Ovis aries: one gene and its partners. Each later gene encodes a partner of the first gene's protein in a complex. Links are inferred from orthologs where the notes say so. Each region holds a gene or a part of one and is shown on either strand. Other genes may lie near its edges. The genes, in order: XAB2, PRPF19 and PPIE.

What was found.
Region 2: XAB2 (region 1) and PRPF19 share a complex: the UniProt entries of both Homo sapiens proteins name them as parts of the XAB2 complex. The link is inferred for Ovis aries from reciprocal best matches to the Homo sapiens genes XAB2 and PRPF19.
Region 3: XAB2 (region 1) and PPIE share a complex: the UniProt entries of both Homo sapiens proteins name them as parts of the XAB2 complex. The link is inferred for Ovis aries from reciprocal best matches to the Homo sapiens genes XAB2 and PPIE.

What each region holds. Positions count from the first base shown.
Region 1 is NC_056058.1:14,202,385-14,206,543, forward strand, and holds the start of XAB2 (pre-mRNA-splicing factor SYF1), read right to left. Parts: upstream 2,869-4,159; 5' UTR 2,849-2,868; coding exon 2,798-2,848; intron 1,703-2,797; coding exon 1,554-1,702; intron 1,284-1,553; coding exon 1,160-1,283; intron 930-1,159; coding exon 732-929; intron 42-731; coding exon 1-41. Other genes in the region: protein PET100 homolog, mitochondrial, read left to right, coding at 3,157-3,183, 3,880-3,966, 4,104-4,136. UniProt on the Homo sapiens protein: Involved in pre-mRNA splicing as component of the spliceosome. Involved in transcription-coupled repair (TCR), transcription and pre-mRNA splicing.
Region 2 is NC_056074.1:34,605,816-34,610,022, forward strand, and holds the start of PRPF19 (pre-mRNA-processing factor 19), read right to left. Parts: upstream 2,895-4,207; 5' UTR 2,675-2,894; coding exon 2,656-2,674; intron 996-2,655; coding exon 846-995; intron 650-845; coding exon 573-649; intron 1-572. UniProt on the Homo sapiens protein: Ubiquitin-protein ligase which is a core component of several complexes mainly involved pre-mRNA splicing and DNA repair. Required for pre-mRNA splicing as component of the spliceosome.
Region 3 is NC_056054.1:14,378,274-14,381,916, reverse strand, and holds part of PPIE (peptidyl-prolyl cis-trans isomerase E), read right to left. Parts: intron 2,916-3,643; coding exon 2,872-2,915; intron 2,391-2,871; coding exon 2,364-2,390; intron 691-2,363; coding exon 609-690; intron 1-608. UniProt on the Homo sapiens protein: Involved in pre-mRNA splicing as component of the spliceosome. Combines RNA-binding and PPIase activities.

The DNA of each region.
Region 1 (4,159 bases):
TTGAGGTACTCGATATACTCCTCAGCGCTTTCGGGGCTCAGCTGGGCACCCACACACCACCGGCCGTCAGTGGGGCCACAGGGCCACCCCACCTCGGGTCAGCCCCCCACCACTGTCCTGGGCAGGAGCTAGTGCTGCACTTCCAGTCTCAGCCCCAGCCCTCTCCAGTCCAGGTCCAGCCCTCGCTGGTCTGGGTTAGACACCAGCAGTCCAGCCTGCACAGACCAGGCCTTGCTTTCATCATAAGCCCCCTACCTAAAACAGCACTGCACCAAGGACTTCACGATGCATTAGAGACTATAAATCTGGGGAAACCGCAGGAGGCCTCCATACCATCTGCCCCTCGACTCTCAGCCCTGCCTGTTATGTGTTTATCTCCTGTTCCCTGCCCTCTCACGGTTGCAGATTTACTCTGGTTTACGCAGTCAGGTCACAAGCATTTGTCTGCCAGGTGAGACTGAAAACTCCATGCAAGCAGGGACTGTCTTAGCCACGCTATCCTCAGAACCTGTATCCCAATGCCTGACGTAGAGCGGTTGCTCACAAACTCTCTGGAAATTGAACACAGAACTCACAAATAAAACCCTGTGTGTCTCCACGAGCCATGTTCCCACTTCCTGTCTGTCAGGGCAGACGGTGCCCCCAGTGAGCGCGTTTTTGGAAAGTCCTGACCTAGGGTACTGGCCCACCTGCCTGAACCTGGCCCCATCTTGCCCTTTTAGGGGGCTCACCTTGAGGAAGCGCCGGTAGCCCCGCACGGCAGTCTCAGGCAGGGGGTGTGAGCGCAGGAAGCGCAGGTACAGGGGCCAAATACGAGAGTGCTGGGTGATGGGCAATGCCCGGAGGGCCCGGTCAAAAGTTCGGCGTGTGTGCGTGACACGTCCCTGGTCCATTAGGAACTGGCAGTAATCCAGCCACAGCCGGGGCATCTGGAGGGGTAGGGAGAGGAGGGGCTGAGCTGCCAGCCTCACCACTGGGCCCCAGGATGCTGGATGTCCCCTGCAGCAGGACCCAGAACCACAGTGGCCCTGGAACTAAATCTCACTCAGCCCGGCATGCACAAAGGTCACAGAATTCCCACCCCTGCTCTGTCCACCTCCATGGACTCTGAGCCCCACCTCCCTACTCATTCCCTGGCCCAGCCATGCCCCCTCCCCACCTTGTGCATGAACACAAAGGCCCTCTCATGGCAGTTGTTGACATCTTCATAGGCGGGGTCGGTCACACAGCGATGCTTCACCTGCGCCCGGCGGGCCTTCAGGTAGCGGTACCAGAGTTTGTAGCTGGGAGTTGGAGGGAGGGGCAGTGACTGGTCAGCTTTTATGGACTCCCAGGACCCTTCCCTCTGCCCTATGAGACAAGTGCTAGGAGCAGGGGCCTGGGGAGAATGGCCAGGACATCAGGGAAGGTGTGCTCGGCAATTCCTGGGATGTCTACTCGCTGACACAACACCTAAGAGGGACCTGGGACCTACTAGCCAGTTCTGGTGTGATGGGATAAGATAGGGTGGGGCAGGGGGCGGGGGCAGGCAGGGCAGCTGCTGCCAATCTCACCTGCAGGGCAGCAGCTTGAGCGCCCGCTCATACAGCTGATTGAGCCTGGGCTTGGGGGCCCCCTGCTTGAACTCGATGTAGCGGAGCCAGCACTTGACGGAGAACTGGTTCCGCATGATCTCCTCCTCATAGGGGAGGTCCTCTTCCTCCTGCCAGGGCCGGGGTGTGGAGAAGGGACAGACCTGCTCTCAGAGCCTGCGCACAGCACCACTCCTACTGGGACCCCGACCCAGGTCCCAAATGCCACTGCTCACCCCTGGAGCCCAGTCACCTGGATACCAGGACTATGGACCAGATTTCTACCTCTCAGAATCTGATGACCTACAACGTGACCCAGACTATCAGACTCCTCGGTCACCGGGTTCCAGGCCAGGCATGAAACTATCACCCAGATATCACTCTCTTGGCCTTCCGAATCAAGCTATCCACTTTCTGGCCCAGGTCACCAGACTCTACAGACACCAAGGTTCTGGTCCAACGCTAGGCCTCCGCCCTAGTCACCAAGTCTTACCTCCTCAGAGCATGACTCCCCAGACACCAGACCTTTGGCATCTCAGGCTCCCACCAGCCAGTTTAGCTCAACTCTCCCCCAGAAGTTGGAAGCTAGATCCTTATCTCAGGAAGAAAGGTATGGACAAGTTCCCTAGCCTTTAACTCGAGACATCAAGAATAAATCTAGTGAAAATGCCACGCCTCTACTCCAAACACCAAGACTGACTCTCCAGGATTCTACTGGCCGTCGCCCACTCAGCTCCACATAACCAGGTCTTTACTTCTTTTCCCAAGACTCTCCCGGTCCAGACACCATGCCTTTATCCCAGAAACTACAACGCTCAGGACCAGACCTGGACCGTTACCCGGAACATTTAGATTTTACCAATGAAACCTGGACTAGTCACCATACTTTTACTTCAAACACCAGGCCTCTCAAAGTTTAGCTATAGGAATTTCCGTTCCCGCCCACACCCCGCGCGCTCCCATTTCCGCCCCAGATCCGGGATGCCAGCCCCTTAACTTCGACCATTTGCTCTTTACTGAGGTCACCTGGGCTCCGGCACCAGATCTTTGCTCCTGACCAGCCTGGTCCAGACATCACGAGCCGGTCTTCGGCCCGTAAGGGTCCTCCTGCTCTCAGACCGGCACAGTTTTAGCCTAAATACCCCAAGTGGCCAAGCCCCAATCCCCTGAGGTATCTAACCCCCGGTGCCCCTATGAATGCCACCCCCGGCCCGCCGCGGACTCACGAAGACAAGGTCCGGTCGCTCGGGCCTCGAGAGCCGCGCCATCACCACCATTTTCCAGGCTCTCCAGGTACGGACAGGAGTCGCGGTATGATGACGTCTAGGCCTAAAGGCCTGCTCTCTCGACCCAAACTAATTTCCCATTGGCTGAACTCTTCCCGATCATGCGCCAGGTGTTGTTGACTTTCCGTTCGACCACCCCAGCTACCGGAAGCAGAGGCGAGCGCTCTAAGATGACGTCATCACGAAGCTACTTGGACCAATCAACTTTAGCAGTGGAGCCCGCCGACTCCCAATGACCTACTGTCTTGTTGGGCTGTTGGCTTTGGGCGGAAGCGGCTGTGAAGCCTAAGAGGAGGAACATGGGGGTGAAGCTTGAGGTGTTTCGGGTCAGTGAGCAATGGAGCGGTCGGAAGGCTGGGCGCGGGGTTCTTCCTGGATGAGGAGAAGGCTCAAAAGGGAGGCCTCCGAGAGAGGGGCTCTGGGGCGAAAGCTCCATTGATTTGAAAGGGACCTTTACAGTTGGAGACGTAGAGGAGGGGGCTCTGGGTTGGGGGCTCTGGGTTGGGGGCTCTGGGAGGGCAGGTGTGAGGAAAGCCCTCTGAGAGATGTGACCTGGGAAGGAGGCTCTAAGAAGGAAGACTTCAGGCTCTGGCGGAGCTCTCTGGTTTACAGTGGGTGTGCGTCTTTCTCCTAGACCGACTCCTAGACTCCGAAGAATGAGTTCTGGGTCTGAGGGCGCTCTGGAATCTCGCTGGGGGTGGTTTGAGGTCTCAGAGAGATGCCTTTATTGTACGAGTTCTTCTGCCCCGGGGCCAATATGTCTGTCTTTCTTTGAGAAAGAGTCTTTTAGACTCGGAGGGGGCTTTCGAGGTGGGGGGTGACTCTTGGATTCTGGGGACTAGACTTCAAGGTGTGTGACTTCTGCACCCTTGCTGGGAGTTTTGGGGTTCTGGAGGGTCCTGAGGAAACACCTCTGGTCTCGGCCAGAGGATGGTTTTCCCGACTCTGAGCAGCCGCTGTACAGTAGGGGTGGAGGCGGGGATGGTAATTCCTGACTACTCATCCCTCCCCTTCCCTTCCAGATGACCATCTACCTCACCTTCCCTGTGGCTATGTTCTGGATTGCCAATCAGGCCGAGTGGTTTGAGGACTATGTCATACAGCGCAAGGTGGGCATCAGTTCATTCCAAGGGGTGGGGAAGGGTATGAGGGAGCAGGGTCAGCCTCCCCTGAGCCGACCCCGCCCTGGATGCGGGGCTCTGGAGGCTTTTGGCTTGTGACTCCATCTATGACTTTGTCCCTACAGAGGGAGCTGTGGCCCCCTGAGAAGGAGGACCAGGTAAGCATGTAATTTTCCTCCCA
Region 2 (4,207 bases), on another chromosome or scaffold:
CTCCTCACCGTGCCAAACCCTGGGCACACAGACAGGAAGGGCTCTTCCCACCCGTCTTCTCTAATTTACCGGCACATCTCCGGCGTCATGCCGTCACCTCACCAGAAAGGAATAAAAACACTACAGCTGCTGTTTATTGACTGCTCTCATTGCGTCAGGCACTGAGCCAGGCAGTCCTCAAGATGCAGTCTTTGACTCATTCATATTTAGAGCACCTGCTGTGAACCTGGTTCTCACTGCTGGGGCTCTAATGAGTAAAACAAGTCCCTGACACCATGAAGCTCATACTCTAATTTTACTCTGAGTCTCTGTAAACCCTGAGACAGGTACTAATCCATGCAATATGGTCAGGAAAAGTAGCACTTGGATACTTGCCAAGGGACGTGGCAAGTGGGCAACGGAGCAAAGGGTGGAGCCCAGATCTGTGTGACATTAAGAACCAGGCTTCTCTGCTCTCACCCTCCCCTCAAAACAGAAAATAAGGCTCCATCCCTCCCATCCCCACCCATGTCCTAGTCCAGTGATCCCTTCTTTTCAAGTCGCGAAAATATAAATTCTCTTCGGGGACTCACCCACTCATCCTGCAAGGCTTTCAGAATGGCTGGGATGCTGGTGGCTGAGGGAGGCTTGGGCCGGATTGGGTGAGCAACTGCCAAGAGAGACAAAGTGGGTGTGAAAACCCATGACCTAGGGCATGCTGGCCCTCCCACATTCTTTCTTTCCCCTTCAGCACTAACAGACCACCGTTTCCTCCCCTGGCTCCCACATGCTATGCACCCGCCACCCTTCCCACCTTCCCAGGCTTTAGGCTAGGACAGCCTGGACTGGGGCTGGCCAGCAGGCACCTTTGATATCAATGAGCTGCTCCTCGGACAGAGGCTGGTTGTTGATGGGATCTGTGCCATTCTCTGCAATATACTTCTCAATGAGCCGCCGCTCATACACATGATTAGAGACGGGGGACACACAGGGGTGTTCTGGCACTTCATTGGAGACTGCGGAGAAAAGGCAGGTGGTGAGCCTGGGGTGGTGACAGGGACCCTGGGCCAAGGGGACGCTTCACCTTCGGCTGGCCTCCACAAGACCTTGCTCCCTACACTCAGCTAACAGGAATCAAGACATGACACCAAGCCAGTTTTGGACTGTACCCACAATGCTTTCCAGCCACTTAACTAGCTTCTCCATCAGTCTCTGACAGTTAGGTAGTCAACAAATAATTGCTGCACAACTACTAAATGCTAGGCACCTAGGGAGCAGTCAATAATTCCTGCCCATCTCATTTCTGAACAAAAACGCTTAGGCACCCATTATATAGCAGGACAAGAAGATACACACAAAGCCATTCAAGTCTCAGACTAGGACCTAGATGGATTCTCGGACACATTACAAACCGATGTGACAAGTGCTATGATAACAAAGTATTTACATGGTGTTTACTAGGCGCCAAGCTCCACTGTAAACACTTTCCATTGATGAAATCATCCTCACCACTCCCCAACAGAAGTATCCATTTACATCCCTGAGGATTGGGACTGTAGCTGCTCTCTGACTTCCAGTACAATGCAGGTGCTTGGCAAATGCTCAGGAAACATCTAACAGACCAGCTGATGGATACTGAAAAGACCTTCCTCAGGACTGAAACAATGAATGTGAAAATACTCTGCACACTGTCATTTCTTTAACGCTTAAGGACTCTTTTTCTAGTCACATTTCCCTTCACTCTTTCTCTCCTTTATTTTGGATTTATGGGGAGGTTCTGAGAAGAGTCAAGAGCTCGAGAGTTAGGAAGCCGAGAGAGAAAAGAATGAGAAACTAATAACCTGATGAACAACCACTCTCCTCAATAACATATCCAAAAGACAGGACAAAGCATTTGAAAAAAGCATGGATTCAGGATCAGAGAAACTGGCTTCGTCACACAGCTCTGCCACTAACTAGCTGTACTGTTTTACAAAAGCCACATTTCTCCTTGAACCTTACATCCTTATCTGTAAAACCGGATCTTTATTTCTGCTTTGGAGAATTGCTGTGGGGACAGAACGACTCTGCAGTTTTGCAAGCACGCTGTAAACCAACAGAGGCTTTTCCAAATGTGCAGCTGTTTTCATCAGCCCTACAGGGTGAGGCTGGTCTGGCTCCCAGGCCTGTCACCGCCTCCAACTCACTGTGCGATCTTCGCAAACTGCAGAAGCGCTGCCTACCCAAGCGGGGCCTCAGACAACACATCCAGTGCCAAGGCCATTATTTTTGCAGTTGGGGAAACTGAGGACCGCATCCCGGAGCCAGATCACAAAGCCAGCTGGAGGCGGATCCTGCACAAGCCCTCTGGCTTCCTGCTTCCTACAGAGAGCTCTTTCCCCTGCACCACCAGCTCCCCGCTATCCAAGCCTCATATCCACTGCGCAAACGAGATGGGCTGCCTCTGTGCAGCCTGCGAGAATGCACCGGAGACGTTATGTAAACTATGAAGCGCTGCGCAAACTGACCTCACGCTGGAGGAGGAAGACCCCCCCGGGCTGACAGGCCGCCGCCCTGCCTCCCCGGAGCCCCGTTTTTCAGGTCCAGCCCCGACCCCGGCGCCGCAGAGGCGCGCAGATCCTCACGCTCAGCTCTCCGGCCTCCAGCGCCCCGCGAGCGGCCGCAGCCGATACTCACTAGAGCAGATCAGAGACATGGCGCCCTCGCTGCACTCCGAGGCTCCTCACACTGGACTCCGGGATCAGCTACTGGGCCCCCGCGGGACACTTCCAGTTCCCTCGCTGCTTCCAGACGCTCCGCTGCGAGCGGGGAGCTGCCCCGCGGAGCGATGCTTGCGAATGGCTTCACGTGGGACTGTGGCCAGTCGCGCGCCTCAGCCTCCAGAATTTAACGGAAACTGTCCTTTCCCATAATGCAATCAGGCAGGAAAGGGCGCGCCAGGAAATACTCGGCTATTTCCGGGCCCTCTCGGCTAGTTTCGTAAAGCTCCAATGGCTGGGAGAGGAGATTCGAAACTACATTTCCCTTAATGCACTGGGACCTTAAAGCCAATCAATTTAGCTGCACTCTTGAGCCAGGGGCGGTGGAACGACTGTCTTGCAAATATTGGAGTATATGAGAATTTTTTTTTATTTTTAATGCTATTAGTCTTTTATTTCGTGAGCATGGTATACTTTGATTTACTTGAAGTGAAGTGAAGTCGCTCAGTCGTGTCCGACTCTTTGCAACCCCATGGACTGTAGTCTATCAGGCTCCTCAGTCCACCCAATTTTCCATGCAAGAGTACTGGAGTGGGTTGCCATTTCCTTCTCCAGGGTATCTTCCCAACCGAGGGATCGAACCCGGGGCTCCCTGTCTGCAGGCAGACACTTTACCGTCTGAGCCACCAGGGAAGCGGTCTTCTGTAATATTTTTTCAGTATAGTTTTATATTATTGTCCATAGTGGTTTTGCATATTTTATGTCTATTTTTGAGTACTCCATAATTTTTTATTCTATTTTCAAATTTTTAATTTATTTTTAATTGGAGGATAATTGTTTTACAATGTTATGTTAGTTTCTGTAAGAATTTCTTAAGGAACTTTTAAAAATGCATTTTTCTGGGGTCTCATTTAGAGAGTCTGCATTTTCAGTTCGTGCCCCATGTGTTTCTCTGGCAAGTGTTTCTCAGAGGATTAGCTTTGGAAGACCCAGTGAAGACGAAGATACACATGGGTAGAGAAGCTAACACTGGCTAAGAAACTCTTCTGGTCTTGCCCCTACTACCAATTTGCTCTGTGATTTTGGGCAAGTCATCTGCTTCTTGGACACACTGGCCTTTCAAGCCCTCAAACTTATCCACTCTGGTTCCAGATCCTTCACCTGGAACACTTTCCTCAATCCCTGCCCTTCTCCCCACCCCTCCCATCCTTTCCAAAGTAAATCCAATCTCACCCTAAATAGCACTTCCTCTGGAGTCTCTTTTCTTGACCCCTGACTGAATTTTAGTCCCCACAGCACCCTGTAATTTTCCTCTGAGTCCCTCTGGGATAGCTATAATAATTTATTTCGAAGAACTTATTATTTATTTTTGGTTGCGCTGGGTCTTCACTGATGTGAGAGGGCTTTCTCTAGTTGCAGTAAGCAGGGGTTACTCTTTGTTATGGTGTGTGGACTCTCATTACAGTGGCTTCCCTAGTTGCAGAGCGCAGACTTAGTTGCCCCTTGGCAGGTGGGATCTTTAGGAACCC
Region 3 (3,643 bases), on another chromosome or scaffold:
CTGCTAAGTAGGTACTCTGATCAGCGAAGCAGAACATACTTTGTGACCCTCTCGGCCAGAGGTCTCCACTTTGGGAAGTCACATGTGTCAGGCAAGCTCCCATCTTTTAGAGACTGCCAGCCCTGAAGCCCAGCTCTTGTGTGTGTTAGTCGCTTAGTCGTGTCTGACTCTTTGCGACCCCATGGACTATAGCCTCCCAGGCTCCTCTGTCCATGGGATTCGCTAGGCAAGAATACTAGAGTAGGTTGCTATTTCCTTCTCCAAGCTCTTAGCAGGGCAACATGAAAAGGCTATGCCCCAGAGAAAGGTGCAGCCCTTGCCAGTCCCAGCCCCTGATGGAACCTGCCAGGAATGTTGAGAAAACTGGGACAGATGAGAGATCAGGCATGGCTTCTCTCATAAAGGAAACAATTACCCTGGTGTGGCTGAGAAGCTCACACTCTTTATTTCCCCACAAAAGTGGCACATGTCCTTTGCCAATGTAAACCATTCTCTACTACTGTCTGCCAGAGAAGCATTCAGTGCCTCCTTTCAAGAAAACTGGGACAGGAAGGCAAGCAAGGCCAAACTGGAGGGTGTGATGGGGCATCTGTATTACTCCCACTCACCTGGTCTAGAAGAGCCTTCCTTAATCCTCATGGGTTTTGCCAAATTGACACGAATTGTCCGTCCAAAGAGCTCAGATTCATTCTGAAAAGTGTGAAAATCCATTTGCTTAAACTGTTAGGTTAAAAGAAAGTCAGACACTTTCCATTTACTTCTGATGCATGAGACAAACTCATGATTTGTTCTCCCTTAATCCCTGATCCCCTAACAGCAAGTTATGCACGTGCCACAAAACAGCCTGTGGGCTGCAGAGAATTTCCTCCTGGGAGCCATCATACAGTTCCTTTCTCCTTTCCTTCAAATTTATTAGTTCCTTATTTGGCTGCATTGAGTCTTAGGTGCAGCACATGAGGTCTCTGTTGTGGCCCATGGACTCTCTAGCTGCAGTACAGGCTTAGTTGCTCCATGGAATGTGGGATCTTAATTCCTTGATCAGGGACTGAATCTGCATCCTCTGCACAACAAGGCGGATTCTGAACCCCTGGGCCACTAGGGAAGTCCCTTTCTTTTTTAAAATTTAAGCATAGTTGATTTACAATGTTTTGGGTGTACAGTGAACTGATTCAGTTATACATTATATATATATATGTCAGATTCTTCTCCATTATAGGTTATTAGAAGATATTATTATAGATTAGAAAATATTATAGGTTATTAGAAGATAGGTTATTCTCCCATTATAGGTTATTAGAAGATATTAAATAACAGGTTCCCTGTGCTATACAGTAGGACCTTGTTGTATATCTAGTTTATATGCAGTAGTATCTGACCTCCTTTCTTTCAATACTAATAATGACCTCTGCTAACAAAAGTGATGCTGTGTTCAGAGTACTCGGAAATTATAAGGATAAATGCAATTTCCAAGTACCTGAGTTCATTTTCAAAAGTCAAGGTCAGCCTTGAGCAATGAGAAGTGATCTCGCTCTGAGAGCTGAGGAAAACATTTGATGAATGGGAAACAGAGAACAGGAATGAAGTAAAGCCTCATTACCCTAAGATAACTGGTACCAGTAAAGGTCACTCAATGTGAAATGACTTAATGACAGTGAAGAAAATTTCATGGTTTAAAATGTGAAGGGGGAAAAAATTGGGAATGTACTGTGATGAAACTAATTAATGAAAATAAATTTCTTATACTTAAAATTCAGCTTTTAAACTATGGCCTAATTTGAAGAACAGACATATAATGGATGTTTATACATCTGCAGTATTTTTTCCAATAAAATCCTATCAACAGTATGATTATCTTTGCATTTCTTATCTGATGTGAAAATCCTAAGTATCCTGAAGAGGGAACACACACTCCAGAGCTGCATCATTGCCCCAAGGAGCCCTCCAGGCTGTCCCAATCACTTGGATCAGCAGCACATCCTATCATCCTTATCAAATTTCTCTTCTCAACTGTTAACCGGTCTAACACTTCATGCAACCCTGTCACTTTTGTAAAATATGCAATTTCACTGTGCAATTATTTTGCATTGTTTGCAATTTCTTAACCTAGACATAGGCAGCCAGTGAGTGACTGGTCAACAAGGATGATTAGCCTTTACGTTATTATCAAACGGAGAAAGATATCTGAGAAAGGACAATTTCATAAGTGATCAATTCACAGTGAATATTTTCACACGATGACAATTTGTATGTACTTCCTCATGCAACCTTGTAACTTTGGAGGTTTGGCAAACCGAATGTAGAACTAAGTGCCCTCTGTATCACCAAAAAGCAACTTCTGTAAGAAGCAGGATTCCCAGCCTTACCATGTTGTCAATAGCTGCTGCAGCATCCTGCCAAAAAAAGACAAGGTACGAATTTAGGTTTGCAGTCAAATGCTTCTTGTAGTGTCTAAACACATACTTGGTAAAATGACAACAAAAAAACAATCCAACAGAAAAAGGTCTCTTTTTCTTCCTCACCTAGGTTGCACGGGTCTAACAAAGTGCACTTCCTGGCTGACTTCAGCTATTTGCCATTTAGTGGAAGACAAAGAAAGTATCACCAGTGCTACCAGGCAAAGATGCTCAATGAGCAGGGCTGCAGGAGTTTCTGCAGAGCAAGAGGGGCAGGACCTAGCAGGTCTGTAATGTTAATCACAGCCCATGGTTTCATTAAGTGAAGGCAGCTTTCCTTCAAACAGTGTTTCTCATCTCTCCGGAAGCATCAGCATGAGGCCCCAAAACCCAACCCCAAATGAAGAACAGCTCCCTTTGTAATCAGTAACAATAATAACAAGCCAAAGACTTAACATAGATAACAGAATTTTCTCACCTCTGCCAACTCAAATTCCACAAAAGCAAATCCTCGGTGCTTTTCTGAAAAAAGGCAGACAATATCAAGCAATTATCATGTTGGGCAATGGGAAGTAGGTGGTCACAAAGAAAGTGAAGTCAGTCACATGCCTTATCCATTTACTAGAATTCTACACCATCACTATTTAGGAAAAACGCATCTTACTCTGATACTTTCTAGTTTAAATAACATTTCAAGCAACATTACACTGTTCTGTAGTGAGTGAAAGTCACTCAGTTGTGTCCGCCTCTTTGTGAACCCACGGACTGTAGCCTGCCAGGCTCCTCTGTCCATTGAATTCTCCAGGCTCGAATACTGGAGTGGGTAGCCTTTACTTTCTCCAGGGGATCTTCCTAACCCAAGGATCAAACCCAGGAAATTATCCCGCACTGCAGGAGGATTCTTTACTATCTGAGCCACCATAGAAGCCCGTTTTGTAGTGAACATAACTAAATAACGAACTATACTTTTAATCTTTAAAAGCAGCATTCTTTTTATTTTTTTTTTTAAAATTTTATTTTTTACTTTATTTTACTTTACAATACTGTATTGGTTTTGCCATACATTGACACGGATCCACCACGGGTGTACATGAGTTCCCAAACATGAACCCCCCTCCCACCTCCCTCCCCACAACATCCCTCTGGGTCATCCCCGTGCACCAGCCCCAAGCATGCTGTATCCTGCACTGGACATAGACTGGTGAGAAAAGCAGCATTCTTTACCAAAGCCAATCAAATCTTAACCTCTG